Linked DNA regions of Anolis sagrei. The protein of the gene in region 1 interacts with the protein of each later gene in a pairwise test. Links are inferred from orthologs where the notes say so. Each region holds a gene or a part of one and is shown in the gene's direction. Other genes may lie near its edges. The genes, in order: PTK6 and FCHO1.

Evidence for each region.
Region 2: the proteins of PTK6 (region 1) and FCHO1 interact in binary tests that used the Homo sapiens proteins (3 or more experiments, as listed by UniProt). The two-hybrid records come from large-scale screens. The link is inferred for Anolis sagrei from reciprocal best matches to the Homo sapiens genes PTK6 and FCHO1.

What each region holds. Positions count from the first base shown.
Region 1 is NC_090024.1:236,441,683-236,449,555, reverse strand, and holds the start of PTK6 (protein-tyrosine kinase 6), read left to right. Parts: upstream 1-4,861; 5' UTR 4,862-5,141; coding exon 5,142-5,380; intron 5,381-7,873. UniProt on the Homo sapiens protein: Non-receptor tyrosine-protein kinase implicated in the regulation of a variety of signaling pathways that control the differentiation and maintenance of normal epithelia, as well as tumor growth.
Region 2 is NC_090034.1:62,482,713-62,490,407, reverse strand, and holds the start of FCHO1 (F-BAR domain only protein 1), read left to right. Parts: upstream 1-4,490; 5' UTR 4,491-4,560; intron 4,561-7,672; 5' UTR 7,673-7,695. UniProt on the Homo sapiens protein: Functions in an early step of clathrin-mediated endocytosis. Has both a membrane binding/bending activity and the ability to recruit proteins essential to the formation of functional clathrin-coated pits.

The sequences.
Region 1 (7,873 bases):
TCTGATTGTAGGTGAACTATAAATCCCAGCAACTGCAACTCCCAAATGTCAAGATTCTATTTCCCCACACTCCACCAGTATTCACATTTGGGCATATTGAGTATTCGTGTAGAATTTGGTCCAGATCCATCATTGTTTGAGTCCACAGTGATCTCTGGATGTAGGTGAACTACAATTCCAAAACCAAAGGACACTGCCCACCAAACACTTCCAATGTTTTCTGTTGGTCATGGGACTGCTGTGTGCCAAGTTTGGTTCAATTCCATCGTTGGTGGGGTTCAGAATGCTCTTTGATTGTAGGTGAACTATAAATCCCAGCAACTACAACTCCCAAATGTCAAGATTCTATTTTCCCCAAACTCCACCAGTGTTCGCATTTGGGCATATTGAGTATTCGTGTAGAGTTTGGTCCAGATCCATCATTGTTTGAGTCCACAGTGATCTCTGGATGTAGGTGAACTACAACTCCAAAACCAAAGGACACTGCCCACCAAACATTTCCAATGTTTTCTGTTGGTCATGGGACTGCTGTGTGCCAAGTTTGGTTCAAATCCATTGTTGGTGGGGTTCAGAATGCTCTTTGATTGTAGGTGAACTATAAATCCCAGCAACTACAACTCCCAAATGACATCATTTTTTTGAGTGAAGGACATACATTGGGTTGTTAGGAGTCTTGTGTCCAAATTTGGTGTCAATTCGTCCAGTGGTTTTTGAGTTCTGTTAATCCCACAAACGAACATTACATTTTTATTTATATAGATGAGAATCTGCACTGATAGGATTGATGCAGTTTGGTACCATTTGGGCATATTGAGTATTCGTGTAGAGTTTGGTCCAGATCCATCATTGTTTGAGTCCACAGTGATCTCTGAATGTAGGTGAACTACAACTCCAAAGCTGCCACTGCTCAAGGCCATGGGATCCTGGGATTTGTAGTTCGGTGAGGAATTGTCACTCTTTGCCAAAGAATGCAGAAGACCTTGTTGAACCACAACTCCCATGATCCCATAGCCACGGCAATTAAAGTGGTGTTGAATGACATTAATATTTCAATGTAGATACGCCTCTTAAAGAGGAGAGCAGGCTATGTGTATCTTCTCTGTGCATTCTCAGAGGCATTGTGTCCAGTGTGTTTACATTTCACATGCCACTTCTCGGTATCAAGTAATGAACAAGACCAGACTGGAAAAAAAGAAAGAAAGAGGAACCAGGCTGGCTGGAGAGATTGCCATTTATTGCAGCCTCTTCCTTGACTCAGAAAGAAATTCCACTGACGTCAATGGGGCATTCCCCTCAGAATTAATTCCTTGTGCAACTCTGGGCACGCCCACATTGTGGAATTAATGCAGTTCGACACCGCTTCAACTGCCGTGGCAATCTGTTCCCAAAAAACATCCTGCAGAAAAAGTATGTGTGTGTGTATATATGTATGTGTGTATATATATATATAGGCCTAAATGCCCTGAAGACACAATGATTCCTCTGACCTTGGCTGCTAAGCAGTTTTTGCCGTGGTTAGTACTTGGATGGGAGACCAGCAATGAATATTTATTTATTTATGACATTTAATGCTGCCCATCTCATCCCGAAGGAGTCTCATAGCGGCTTACAAGTTATATGTACATACAATATATTATATTATTAGCATAGCACAATATTAGCATTATATATTACTAAATTGTACAACACAATACTATAATATTATTTGTAATATTACATGTAATATGAAATATAAAATTGTTATATTGTATTATTATTAGCATTATATTATGTTACATTATAATATTATCAATATTATAGCACAATATTAGTATTATATATTACTATATTGTACTATACCACTATAATGTAATATTAGTAATATTACAGGTAATATAGAATATATAATTATTATAATGTATTATTAGTATTATATTGTATTACATTATAATATTATCAATATGATATGTGTATACAATATATTATTAGCACAACACAATGTTGGTGTTATATATTAAATTGTACTATACCACTATACTGTAATATTAGCAATATTGTATGTAATATGAAATATAAAATTATTATAATGTATTATTAGTATTATATTGTATTACATTATAATATTATCAATATTATATGTGTTTACAATATATTATTAGCACAACACAATATTAGTATTATATATTACTATATTGTACTATATCACTGTAATGTAATGTTAGTAATATTACATGTAATATAGAATATATAATTATTATATTGTATTATTATTTGTATTATATTGTATTACATTATAATCAATATTATATGTGTACAGATATATTATTATCACAGCACAAAATTAGTATTATATATTACTAAATTGCACTATATTACTATACTGTGATATTATTAGCAATATTACATGTAATATAAATATTTTATTATTATTATATTTTATTATTAGTAGTATTACATTGTATTACATTATAATATAATCAATATTATATGTGCATACAATATATTATATTATCACAGCACAATATTAGTGTTATATAGTACTATATTGTACTATAGCACTATAATGTAATATTATTAGTAATATTACATGTAATATAAAACATATAATTATTATATTGTATTATTAGTATTATATTGTATTACATAATATTATAATATCAGGTGATGCCGTCTTTAGTTCAAAGGAAGGAAGTCTTCGAATCATAGTTGGAAGGGGTCACCAAAGGCCATCCAGTCCAACCCCATTCTTCCATGCAGGAAGACACAATCAAAGCCTTCTCGACAGATGGCCATCCAGCCTCGGCTTAAAACTTTCCAGGGAAAAAGCAGCTAAGGGGAAAAAGGAAAGGGCCTGAGGCTGTTAGGAATTGTAGGAGTTGAAGTCCATAACACCTAAAGGGCCGAAGCTTGCCCATGCCTATCTCTCCACAGCACACACAGGTGTTAAAGCACACCTTTTTCAATGAACCTGGAAAGACTGAATGCCAGCAGGTGTAGCTCTTCACGCTGCGCCTAGTCATCACGAGCTAGATTTTAAAGCCATCCCTGTCGAAATTCCCATTTAGGAACACGCCTACCTTGACTCACATCCTTTCTCCGTCTCTCTACAGGGTTTCAGGTGAGATGGTTTCCTTAGCACTATCTTTCGACCAACAACCACTAAGCAAGTTGGATCCTGCCTCGCTTGGAAACCAGATATATTCAGAAGGAAGTGAGTCCAACAGAACCCATCATCCCCAGCAAGTGACAACTAATGCATCTCATATAATGGTGGGGTGATTAGCAATCTTAATCCCCTCTGGAATTTTAGGATGAATGTCGGGATCTAGTTGTTGACCTGGAGATCCCAACATCCACTGTGTTGACTTTAGGAACGCTGGGAGTTGTAGTCTTAAAAAAAATCTGGAGAACTGCATGACATAACTGTCAACTGTCCTGATTGGGTAGAGGCAATCCAGATTTGTTGTTGAAAGCTTTCATGGCCGAAATCACAGGGTTGCTTTGAGTTTTCCTGGTTGTAAAGTCATGTTTCAGAAGCATTCTCTCCTGATGTTTTGCCCACAACTATAGCAGGCATCCTCAGAGGTTGTGAGGTCTGTTGGAAACTAGGCAAGTGGAATGTCCAGGGTGGGACAAAACACTTGTCTGTTGGAAGTGAGTGAATGTTGCAATTGGTCACTTTCATTAGCATTGAATTGCCTTGCAGCTTCAAAGCCTGGCTGCTTCCTGCATGAAAATGAACAAAACCTGGCTACCAGTATTAAAAAACACTAAAATCAGGACAATAAATAAAGAACAACGCATAGAAAACAGGGGAACTCCAGACAGGAAACAACCAGGGAAGCTAACACTTCAAAGGATTCCCCAGACAGGAAGCAGCCAGGCCTTGAAGCTGCAAGGTCATTCAATGCTAACCAAGGTGGCCAATTGCAACATTTACCCTTGCCTCAAACAGACAAGAGTTCTTTCCCCCACCCTGGACATTCCACAGATATATAAATCCCACTTGTCTAGTTTCCAACAGACCCCACATCGCAAATGCATTTGGCGGGGATGAGAGGCAGGGCCTTCTCGGCTGTGGCCCTTCGCCTGTGAAGCACAATCCCAAATGAGATAAGATTGGCTTCTTCCCTCCTCGTTTTCAGGAAATTGAAGTTGTGGTTTTGGGAACAGGCTTTTGGACTTTGACTGGAAAGGCACTACAGCTGATGATACTGCTTATTGTTTTAATTAATGCTTTTTGTAGTGTTTTAATTAATGTTTTCCTGTATTTTAATTATTGCAGGATTATTGTAATTGCTTATATGTAGCGGCATGAAATCGTTGCCAAATGTAAGCCATCCTGAGTCCCCCTTCAGGGATAGAGAAGAGACGGGGTAGAAATACTGGAAATAAATAAATAAAGCTCTGAGGATGCCTGCCATAGATATGGGTGAAACGTCAGGAGAGAATGCTTCTGAATCATGGCCATACAGCCTGGGAAACTCACAGCAACCCAACAATCCTGATTAATATTCCACAGTCCCACTTTTTCTATTTTTCTTTTCAATATCCAAGTTATTTCACTTGCTGCACTGACACTGTCGAATCAGTGCAGTTTGGCACCATTTTAACTACCATGGCTAAATGCTGCAAAACCATGGGAGTTGTAGTTAGGTGAGGCCCCAGCACTCTTTGGCAGAAAAGGAGAAAGATTATATAAAACTACAACTCCAAGGATTCCAAAGAATCTAACCATGGTATCAATCTATGTTAATTTTGCAATGCAGAGCCAATCCAAGCTTTGCTCCAGAGCTGAAGAAAGCCTTTTGCATTGTTGTTGTGTGTCATCACCTCACCGCCTTCTTGTTCTTCCTCTTCTTCTTTTCCCTCCTCCCTCGGTTCAAGGAGCAACAACAGGGCAGGGCTGGGATATATATTACGACTTCTGTCCCATAAAGAGGAAGCCGAGAAGGGTTTCCCCCTCCATTTCAAAGTCTCCGCCTGGCAGTGATTTACTACCTACCAGTAAGCCAACGCAACAGGTTTGCAAAGACTTCCTTGTATTATACCTCCAAGAAAACTGCAGCTGAAGAGCATGGCTTTCTGAGAAGCAGTTGTGCTCATAGTGAAACTGTGGTGTTTTCTCCTCTTGGGCTTTATCTTCTTGACCTGGGACCATCATGAGCTCCAAGCCAGAGCCTCCAAAAAGGAACCGAAGCAAGATTTATACCAGCTTGTGGGATTTTAAAGGAATGACGGAGAGCGAAATGAGCTTCCGGGCAGGAGACCTGTTCCAGGTGATAGAGAAGACAGGAGATTGGTGGTGGGCCAAGAAACTGGATGCCTTGGGCAAGAATTCACAAGAAGGTTATGTCCCCTCCAACTACTTGGCCAAGCAGGAGACCGTGGAAGCGGAACCGTAAGTACTGACTATTGGACATGGATTTGAAAGAAGCGAGGTTTCATGTGCTTTGGACTTATTTATTGTTTATTTATTTATTTACAGTATTTATATTCCGCCCTTCTCACCCCGCAGGGGACTCAGGGCGGATTACAGTGTACACATATATGGCAAACATTCAATGCCAATTTTGACTTACAACATATACAGACATACAAAGAGGCTATTTAACTTTTTCTGGCCACCAGGGGAGCTGTCGCTTTCATCGTCCATCTGCAACGCTGATGAAGTACTTCCGCATTCCCCACATGCTTTTTTGCTGGAGGGCTTTGCTGGAGTCTTTTTTATGGCCTCATAAATTAGTTACTTTAGCCTTCCCACACTTTAAGGTGGTACCTAATTTTCCTGCTTGACAGATGCAACTGTCTTTTGAGTTGCAAAGGTCGACAACAGGCTACACAATTGGTTGGAAACCCACTCCAACCTGGGCTGGGTTCAAACTCATGACCTTTTGGTCAGAGTGATCTTAATGCTGCTGACACTCAGCCCGCTGCGCCACAATCTCTCTCATGCCTCTCTCCATCTTTCTGTGCTGCACTTATGAAAGTTGGGTAGATATGCAAAAGTAACAGAAGTACAGCACAACCCCTGTATCCACAGGACCAGTATTCACAGTTTGATTTAGTGGTAAAATATGTCCTCCTTATGCATTTTTAGGTCCCCCAGCATGAATCTATATCAGTCATGGGCAAACTTGGGCCCTCCAGGTGTTTTGGACTTCAACTCCCACAATTCCTAACAGCCGATAGGCTGTTAGGAATTGTGGGAGTTGAAGTCCAAAACACCTGGAGGCCCCAAGTTTGCCCATTTCTGATCTATATGTTGTTCTTGGTTTTGAAGTCTTTCATTTAAACAGCAATTATCTGCAATTTTATATATGCATGCAAAGATTTGGAACGTATCCACTGTGTATATTCTATAAGAGCCATATAATATCTTTATATGGCACTTTGGTAATAAAAGAATTCTTTTTTCAGCTGCTTTAAAAAAATCCCAATTTTTCTCTTCCATTGCTATTTTCGCCATTTATTCTCAACCTACTTCAGTTTCTGCAAACAGTGTCAAACATGCTCTTTATGAGGTCAAAATTTGTGTGCATTGTGGAATCACTGCAATATGACACTACTTTAATTGCCATGGTTCAATGCTATAGATCCACAGCTGTTTTTACAAGGCCTTTCACCTTCTGTGCCAAAGAGTGCTGCTGCCTCACCAAACTACAAGTCCTGGGATTTCATAGCAATGAGTCATAGCAGTTAAAGTGGTATCACGCTGCATTCATTCTGTGGTGTAGATGCACCTTCTGGGAGAGGAGAGGAGAGGAGAAAGAAGTCTTGTTCTTCCCTGTAAACTCAACCAAAGGCAAACTGCTGCAGTCTTTCCAAACGTCTCTATTCCTCCATGTCCACAACTTTTTGCCAACTTGATCACTTCCTGGTGTTGTTTGACCACATGTCTCAGGTTTTAATTTGTGAAATGTTGGAAGATTTGGACTGATAGATATGGAAAACAAGCAGAGGTGTACATTTATATTGAACTTCAGTTACTGAGAAAAAGCATGCTAGTGAATATAATAAGGCTGCAATGCCACTGCAAGAATGTCATCTAATCCACTTTGCACCAACACACTTCGACCAAAGAGACTAGGAACATGATTTGAACATGAGCTAAAATTCAGCCCACTCATTTATTTATTCATTTGGTGGCGCAGTGGGTTAAAGGACTGAGCTGCTGAGCTTGTTGATCGAAAGGTCACAGGTTCAATTCCGGGGAGCGGCGTGAGCTTCCGCTGTCAGCCCTAGCTTCTGCCAACCTAGTAGTTCTAAAACATGCAAATGTGAGTAGATCAATAGGTACCGCTCCGGCGAGAAGGTAACGGTGCTCCATACAGTCATGCCGGCCACATGACCTTGGAGGTGTCTACGGACACGCTGGCTCTTCGGCTTAGAAATGGAGATGAGCACCACACCCCAGAGTCAGACATGACTGGACTTAATGTCAGGGGACTACCTTTACCTTATCTTTATACCACCTTTCTCACCCCTGGAGAGAATCAAGGCAGTTTACAACATATTAATGGCAAGAATTCAATGCCAACATACAATAAAATAAAATCACAATAATTCTAGAAATCTGAGTGCTTCTGCTGTTAGGAAGAGTTAAAAATATGCTCAGTGCAGTTTAAAAGCATTCTTTGCAAAGTTTCTCACTTAGAACCATGACTATAGATAGAACTGTGGTGCAGCTTTCCAGATCTGGCTGGCAGCAATCCTCACCATTTGGTAGGGCTGCCGGGATTTGCAGTCAATCCCAGGAGGGTTGTCTAATTCCCATTTTAACAGAGAACCACAGAGCTGAAGAGGAATTACTGATTTCCATTCCAACCTGCTGTCAGAGAGAGAGAAATGATTTCTATCTATTGTCGAAGGCTTTCATGGCCAGAATCACTGG
Region 2 (7,695 bases), on another chromosome or scaffold:
ATGGGGGTTCTGTGTGGGAAGTTTGCCCCATTTCTGTCATTTGTGGGTTTCAGAATGCTCTTTAATTGTAGTAAACTATAAATCCCAGTAACTACAAATCCCAAATGTCAAGGTCTATTTCCTCCAAACTCCATCTGTGTTCATATTTAGGCATATGGAATATTTGTGTCAAGTTTGGTCCAGACCCTTTTAAATAAATAAATAAATAAATAAATAAGATCCATCATTGTTTGAGTCCACAGTGCTCTCTGGATGTAGGTGAACTACAACTCCCAAACTCAAGGTCAATGCCCACCAAACCCTCCCAGTGTGTTCTGTTGGTCATGGAAGTCCTGTATGCCATGTTTGGTTGAATTCCATCTTTGGTGGAGTTCAGAATGCTCTTTCATTGTAGGTGAACTATAAATCCCAGCAACTACAACTCCCAAAATGTCAAGGTCTATTTCCCTTAAACTCCATCTGTGTTCATATTTGGGCATATGGAATATTCGTGCCAAGTTTGGTCCAGATCCATCATGGTTTGAGTCCACAGTGCTCTCTGGATGTGGGTGAACTATAATTCCCAAACTCAAGGTCAATGTCCACCAAACCCTTCCAGTTTTTTCTGTTGGTCATGGGAGCCCTGTGTTCAATTCCATCATTGGTGGAGTCCAGAATCCCCTTTGATTGTAGGTGAACTATAAATCCCAGCAACGACAATTCCCAAATGACAAAATCATAATGTTTTGCGTGATGGTCACTCCTTGTGTTGTGAGACGTTTTGTTGCCAAATTTGGTGTGATTTTGTTTATTGGTTCTTTTGTTTTTAGGGAACTCATTATGCACAGAGCATTTATATAGATAGATAGAAGACTGATAGATAGAATATAGATAGAGAGATAGATAGATAGATAGATAGAAGATAGATAGAAGATAGATAGATAGATAGATAGATAGATAGAAGATAGATAGATAGATAGATAGAAGATAGAAGATAGCTAGACAGAAGATAGATAGATAGATAGATAGATAGATAGATAGATAGATAGATAGATAGATAGAAGATAGAAGATAGCTAGATAGAAGATAGATCGATAGATAGATAGAAGATAGATAGATAAATAGAAGATAGATAGAAGATAGATTAGATAGAAGATAGATAGATAGATAGATAGATAGATAGACAGACAGATAGAAGATAGATAGAAGATAGAAGATAGCTAGATAGAAGATAGATAGATGGCTAGATAGATAGAAGATAGATTAGATAGAAGATAGATAGAAGATAGATAGATAGCTAGATAGAAGATAGATAGATAGAAGATAGCTAGATAGAAGATAGATAGCTAGATAGATAGAAGATAGATTAGATAGAAGATAGATAGAAGATAGATAGATAGCTAGATAGAAGATAGATAGATAGATAGAAGATAGCTAGATAGTAGATAGCTAGATAGATAGAAGATAGATTAGATAGAAGATAGATTAGATAGAAGATAGATAGAAGATAGATAGATAGCTAGATAGAAGATAGATAGATAGATAGATAGAAGATAGCTAGATAGAAGATAGATAGCTAGATAGATAGAAGATAGATTAGATAGAAGATAGATAGAAGATAGATAGATAGCTAGATAGAAGATAGATAGATAGATAGATAGATAGATAGATAGATAGAAGATAGATAGATAGAAAATAGATAGATAGATAGAAGATAGATAGATAGAAGATAGATAGAAGATAGATTAGATAGAAGATAGATTAGAAGATAGATAGAAGATAGATTAGATAGAAGATAGCTAGCTAGCTAGCTAGATAGAAGATAGATAGAAAATAGATAGATAGATAGAAGATAGATTAGATAGAAGATAGCTAGCTAGCTAGCTAGAAGATAGATAGATAGATAGAAGATAGAAGATAGCTAGCTAGCTAGATAGAAGATAGATAGATAGAAGATAGATAGATAAATAAAAGATAGATAGAAGATAGATAGATAGAAGATAGATAGATAGATAGATAGAAGATAGATAGAAGATAGATAGATAGATAGCTAGATAGATAGAAGATAGATGTTTATAATATAATGTAATGTAATGTATGTGGGGCCCCCGGTGGCGCAGTGGGTTAAAGCACTGAGCTGCTGAGCTTGTTGATCGAAAGGTCGCAGGTTCAACTCCGGGGAGCGGCATGAGCGTCCGCTGTCAGCCCTAGCTTCTGCCAACCTAGCAGTTCAAAAACATGCAAATGTGAGTAGATCAATAGGTACCGCTCCGGCGGGAAGGTAAGGGCACTCCATGCAGTCATGCCGGCCACATGACCTTGGAGGTGTCTACGGACAACGCTGGCTCTTCGGCTTAGAAATGGAGATGAGCACCACACCCCAGAGTCGGACACGACTGGACTTAATGTCAGGGGACTACCTTTACCTTTACCTTAATGTAATGTATATACATAGAATATTTATAATATAATGTAATACAATATAATACTAATAATAATAATGTAATATTATAATTATATATTTTATATTACTAATAATATTACAATAACAGTGACAAATGCAAGATACTCCACTTTGGCAGAAAAAACGAAATGCAAAGATACAGAATGGGGGACAATGCCTGGCTCGAGAGCAGTACGTGTGAAAAAGATCTTGGAGTCCTCGTGGACAACAAGTTAAACATGAGCCAACAATGTGATGTGGCGGCAAAAAAAGCCAATGGGATTTTGGCCTGCATCAATAGGAGCATCGTGTCTAGATCTAAGGAAGTAATGCTACCCCTCTATTCTGCTTTGGTTAGACCACACCTGGAATATTGTGTCCAATTCTGGGCACCACAATTCAAGAGAGATATTGACAAGCTGGAATGTGTCCAGTGGAGGGCGACTAAAATGATCAAGGGTCTGGAGAATAAGCCCTATGAGGAGCAGCTTAAGGAGCTGGGCATGTTTAGCCTGAAGAAGAGAAGGCTGAGAGGAGATATGATAGCCATGTATAAATATGTGAGAGGAAGCCACAGGGAGAAGGGAGCAAGCTTATTTTCTGCTTCCTTGCAGACTAGGATGCGGAACAATGGCTTCAAACTACAAGAGAGGAGATTCTATCTGAACATTAGGAAGAACTTCCTGACTGTGAGAGCCGTTCAGCAGTGGAACTCTCTGCCCCGGAGTGTGGTGGAGGCTCCTTCTTTGGAAGCTTTTAAGCAGAGGCTGGATGGCCATCTGTCAGGGTTGCTTTGAATGCAATATTCCTGCTTCTTGGCAGGAGGTTGGACTGGATGGCCCATGAGGTCTCTTCCAACTCTTTGATTCTATGATAGATAGATAGATAGATAGATAGATAGAAGATAGATAGCTAGATAGATGATAGATAGATAGATAGATAGAAGATAGATAGATAGCTAGATAGATAGAAGATAGATAGCTAGATAGATAGAAGATAGATAGAAGATAGATAGCTAGATAGATAGAAGATAGATAGATAGATAGAAAGAAAGAAGATAGATAGATAGAAGATAGATAGCTAGATAGATAGAAGATAGATAGAAGATAGATAGCTAGATAGATAGAAGATAGATAGATAGATAGATAGATAGAAGATAGATAGAAGATAGATAGATAGATAGATAGAAGATAGATAGATAGAAGATAGATAGCTAGATAGATAGAAGATAGATAGATAGATAGATAGATAGATAGAAGATAGATAGATAGAAGATAGATAGATAGAAGATAGATAGCTAGATAGATAGAAGATAGATAGAAGATAGATAGATAGATAGATAGTAGATAGCTAGATAGATAGAAGATAGATAGCTAGATAGATAGAAGATAGATAGAAGATAGATAGATAGATAGATAGATAGATAGATAGATAGAAGATAGATAGCTAGATAGATAGAAGATAGATAGATAGAAGATAGATAGAAGATAGATAGATAGATAGAAGATAGATAGCTAGATAGATAGAAGATAGATAGCTAGATAGATAGATAGAAGATAGATAGATACTAGCTAGCTAGATAGATAGATAGAAGATAGATAGATAGAAGATAGATAGAAGATAGATAGAAAGCTAGATAGATAGAAGATAGATGTTTATAATGTAATGTAATGTATATACATATAATATTTATAATATAATGTAATACAATATAATACTAATAATAATGTAATATTATAATTATATATTTTATATTACTAATAATATTACAATATAATGGTATGGTATGATATAGTAATATATCATACTGATATTGTACTATGCTAATAATATAATATATTGTATGTATAATATATCTTGTAAGCCGCTCTGAGTCCCCTTCGGGGTGAGAAGGGCGGCATATAAATGTAAACACAAGACAATGTAAGGCAGGCCTGTACGCGCCTGCGCAGAAGCGCACGCCAATAGCGGGATGGAAATAGGGCCGCTTCTCCTTTAAGCATGCAAATAAGCCCAGCGGGGCAGGCCAATCAGGAGCGCTTGTGCTCCGCAGGGGTGGGGGGGGCTGGCTGTGCCCGCTCCCCGCCTGGTTTTGTGTGCAGAGGACGCGGCGCAGGTGCGGGATCGGCGCGCGACAGGTCGGGGGCCGGGACACACCCCCACCACTGCGGGGAGGGAGAGAGGGAGGGGGCTTCATTAGCCTTGAAAGGGAGGGGGTTTGCCAAGGTGCATGCACACACACACACACATATATATAATAGTATGTGCATCTAATTTGCATAGATGTACATTATCATAGTGTTTTGCAATATTTTATGCATCCATATGTGTGTGTGTGTTGCAAGGGCATGAAATGTCCATCTTATTTGCATAGATTTGTCTAATTGTACATTTTTGGTGTGTGTGTGTGTGTGTGTGTTGACAACCACCATAACAGATGCACACTTCATGTCATTACAATATATATATATATATATTGTAATGACATGAAGTGTGCATCTGATATGGTGGTTGTCAATTTTTTTTTGCATGCTAATATATGTGTGTGTGTATTGCAATGGCATGAAGTGTGCATCTTAGTTACATAGATTGGTCTAATTGTACCTTTTTTGCATGTGTGTATATATATATATATAGTAAGGACAGGAAGTGTGCACCTTATTTGCATATATTTGCATAACAATTGTGGCGTGCACGTTTTTTTGCATACTCATACGCTCCCTGCATTGTCTATCGTCTATCTATCGTCAAAACAACATTCTGTTTATTATTTATTAGTATACAAATAGCTTATATGGTCTAGTGGGGAGGGAGCATTAATACACAACAGTCCCATTTCATATTATCTTTATTATTCTTTTTATTGTTATTATTATTTTTATGATACTATTGTTATTTTATTGATTATATTATTTATTAGTATCAGGAAGTGTGTCGAGGTACTGCAAGTCCCATTGTCCAAACCACACCAAGATGTTGAGTTGGTCATGGGGGCTCTGTATGTCAAGTTTGGTCTTGATCGGTCATTGGTGTGGATCACAGTTGTCTCAGGAAGTGTGTCAAGGTACTGCAAGTCCCATCATCCATGGGCCGTCATCCCACAGACCACACCAGGATGTAGAGTGGGTTATGGGGGCTCTGTATGCCAAGTTTGAGCTTGATCAGTCATTGGTGTGGATCACAGTGGTCGCAGGAAGTGTGTCAAGGTACTGCAAGTCCCATCATCCATGGTCCATCATCCCACAGACCACACCAGGATGTAGAGTGGGTTATGGGGGCTCTGTATGTCAAGTTTGGTCTTGATCAGTCATTGGTGTGGATCACAGTAGTCTCAGGAAGTGTGTCAAGGTACTGCAAGTCCCATCATCCATGGTCCGTCATCCCACAGACCACACCAGGATGTAGAGTGGGTTATGGGGGCTCTGTATGTCAAGTTTGAGCTTGATCAGTCATTGGTGTGGGTCGCAGTCATCTCAAGAAGTGAGTGAAGATACTGCAAGTCCCATCATCCATGGTCCAAACTCTTCCAAACCACACCAGGATATTGAGTGGATCATGGGGATTCTCTGTGCCAAGTTTGGTCTGAGTCAGTCATTGGTTTGGGTCAAAGTGCTCTCAGGAATGAGTGAAGGTACTTCATGTCCCATTGTCCATGGTCTATCCTCCTCCCGATAGCACCAGGATGTAGAGTGAGTCATGAGGGCTCAGTGTGCGAGGCTTCATCTTGATCAGGCATTGGTGAAGGTTGCAGTGGTCTCAGGAAGTGAGTGAAGTTACTGCAAGTTCCATCATCCATAGTCCATCCTCCTCCAAACTGCACCATGATGTAGAGTGGGTCACGGGGGCTCTGTGTTCCAAGTTTAGCCCTGATTCATCATTATTGGGACTTGTAGTGGTTTCAGGAAGTGAGTGAAGGTACTGCATCTCCTATCATCCATTGACCTATGTCCCCCAAACCTCACCAGGATTTAAAGTGGGTCATGGTGGGTCTGAGTGGCAAGTTTAGTCCAGGTCTCTGATTTTTGGGGACCACAGTGTTCTGTGGGAAGTGAATTGGGTGAAGAGACTGTAAATCCCATTATCCATGGTCCATCCTCCCTCTAACTACACCAGGTTGTAAAGTGGGCCAACTTTGGTCTTGATCTGTCATTGGTGGGGGTCGCAGTGGTCTTTGAAAGCTTACGTTTTTGGAAGTACTGCAGATCCCATCATCCATGGTCTGTCTTCCCCTAAACCATGTGCCAAGTTTGGTCCAGGTCCGTCAATCGTGGGGGGTCGCAGTAGCCTATGGAAATGGCAGCCAATCACAAAGCTGCCACATACCCGCACCGCCGCATACATAGGAACACTGACTTTATTATTTAGTTAGATACAGATAGATGTGTGTGTGTGTGTGAGTGTGTAATTATGGCCATGTGAATTTTTGGGAACACTATTATTACTATTATATTTATTATTAGTAGCAATATAATGATAATTATTGCCGTTATTATATTATATAGTAGTGTTATTATTTATTATGTATATTACTATTATACAGTGTGTGTGTGTGTGTGTGTGTGTGTGTGTGTGTGTGTGCATTTATGTGTTTGTGTGTATGTATATATACATTGTGGCCATGTGAAGTCTTGGGAACGATTATTATTATTAGATACACAACCAGATTAGGACACAGCAAACAAGATCACTCTGCTGGCTGTTGTATTGGATCACACGTCAGACACTTCCCAAGTGTGTGGGACTGTGTGATGTATCGGCGAATAATGCGTGCAGATCCAAGTAAGATGGCCTTTTGCAGCTGGCAGATGGTAATTTTGTCAGCACCGATTGTTTTCAAGTGCTGACCAAGGTCTTTAGGCACTGCACCCAGTGTTCCGATCACCGCTGGGACCACCTTGACTGTTTTTTTTAATATTATTATTATTATTATTATTATTATTATTATTATTTGAAACACAACAAGATTAGTACACAGCAAACAAGATCACTATGTTGGCGGTTGTATTGGATCACACGACACTTCCCAAGTGTATTATTATTATTATTATTATTATTATTATTATTATTATTACATGTTATTCTTGCCCTTGGCTCTTACTTGATTTTGGATGTTTTCAAAGCCGAAAGGTTGTGGTTTCCTCTTCCTCTTCTGCTGCTTTTTGCAGAGGCAGCTTTTGAAAGGGCCCGTTTTCTTGTTTGTTTGTTTGTTTCAAGGACTGGGTATAAATCCCTTGTTTCCTTCTTCTTTAGGATCATCGTCTGCACCAAAGAGG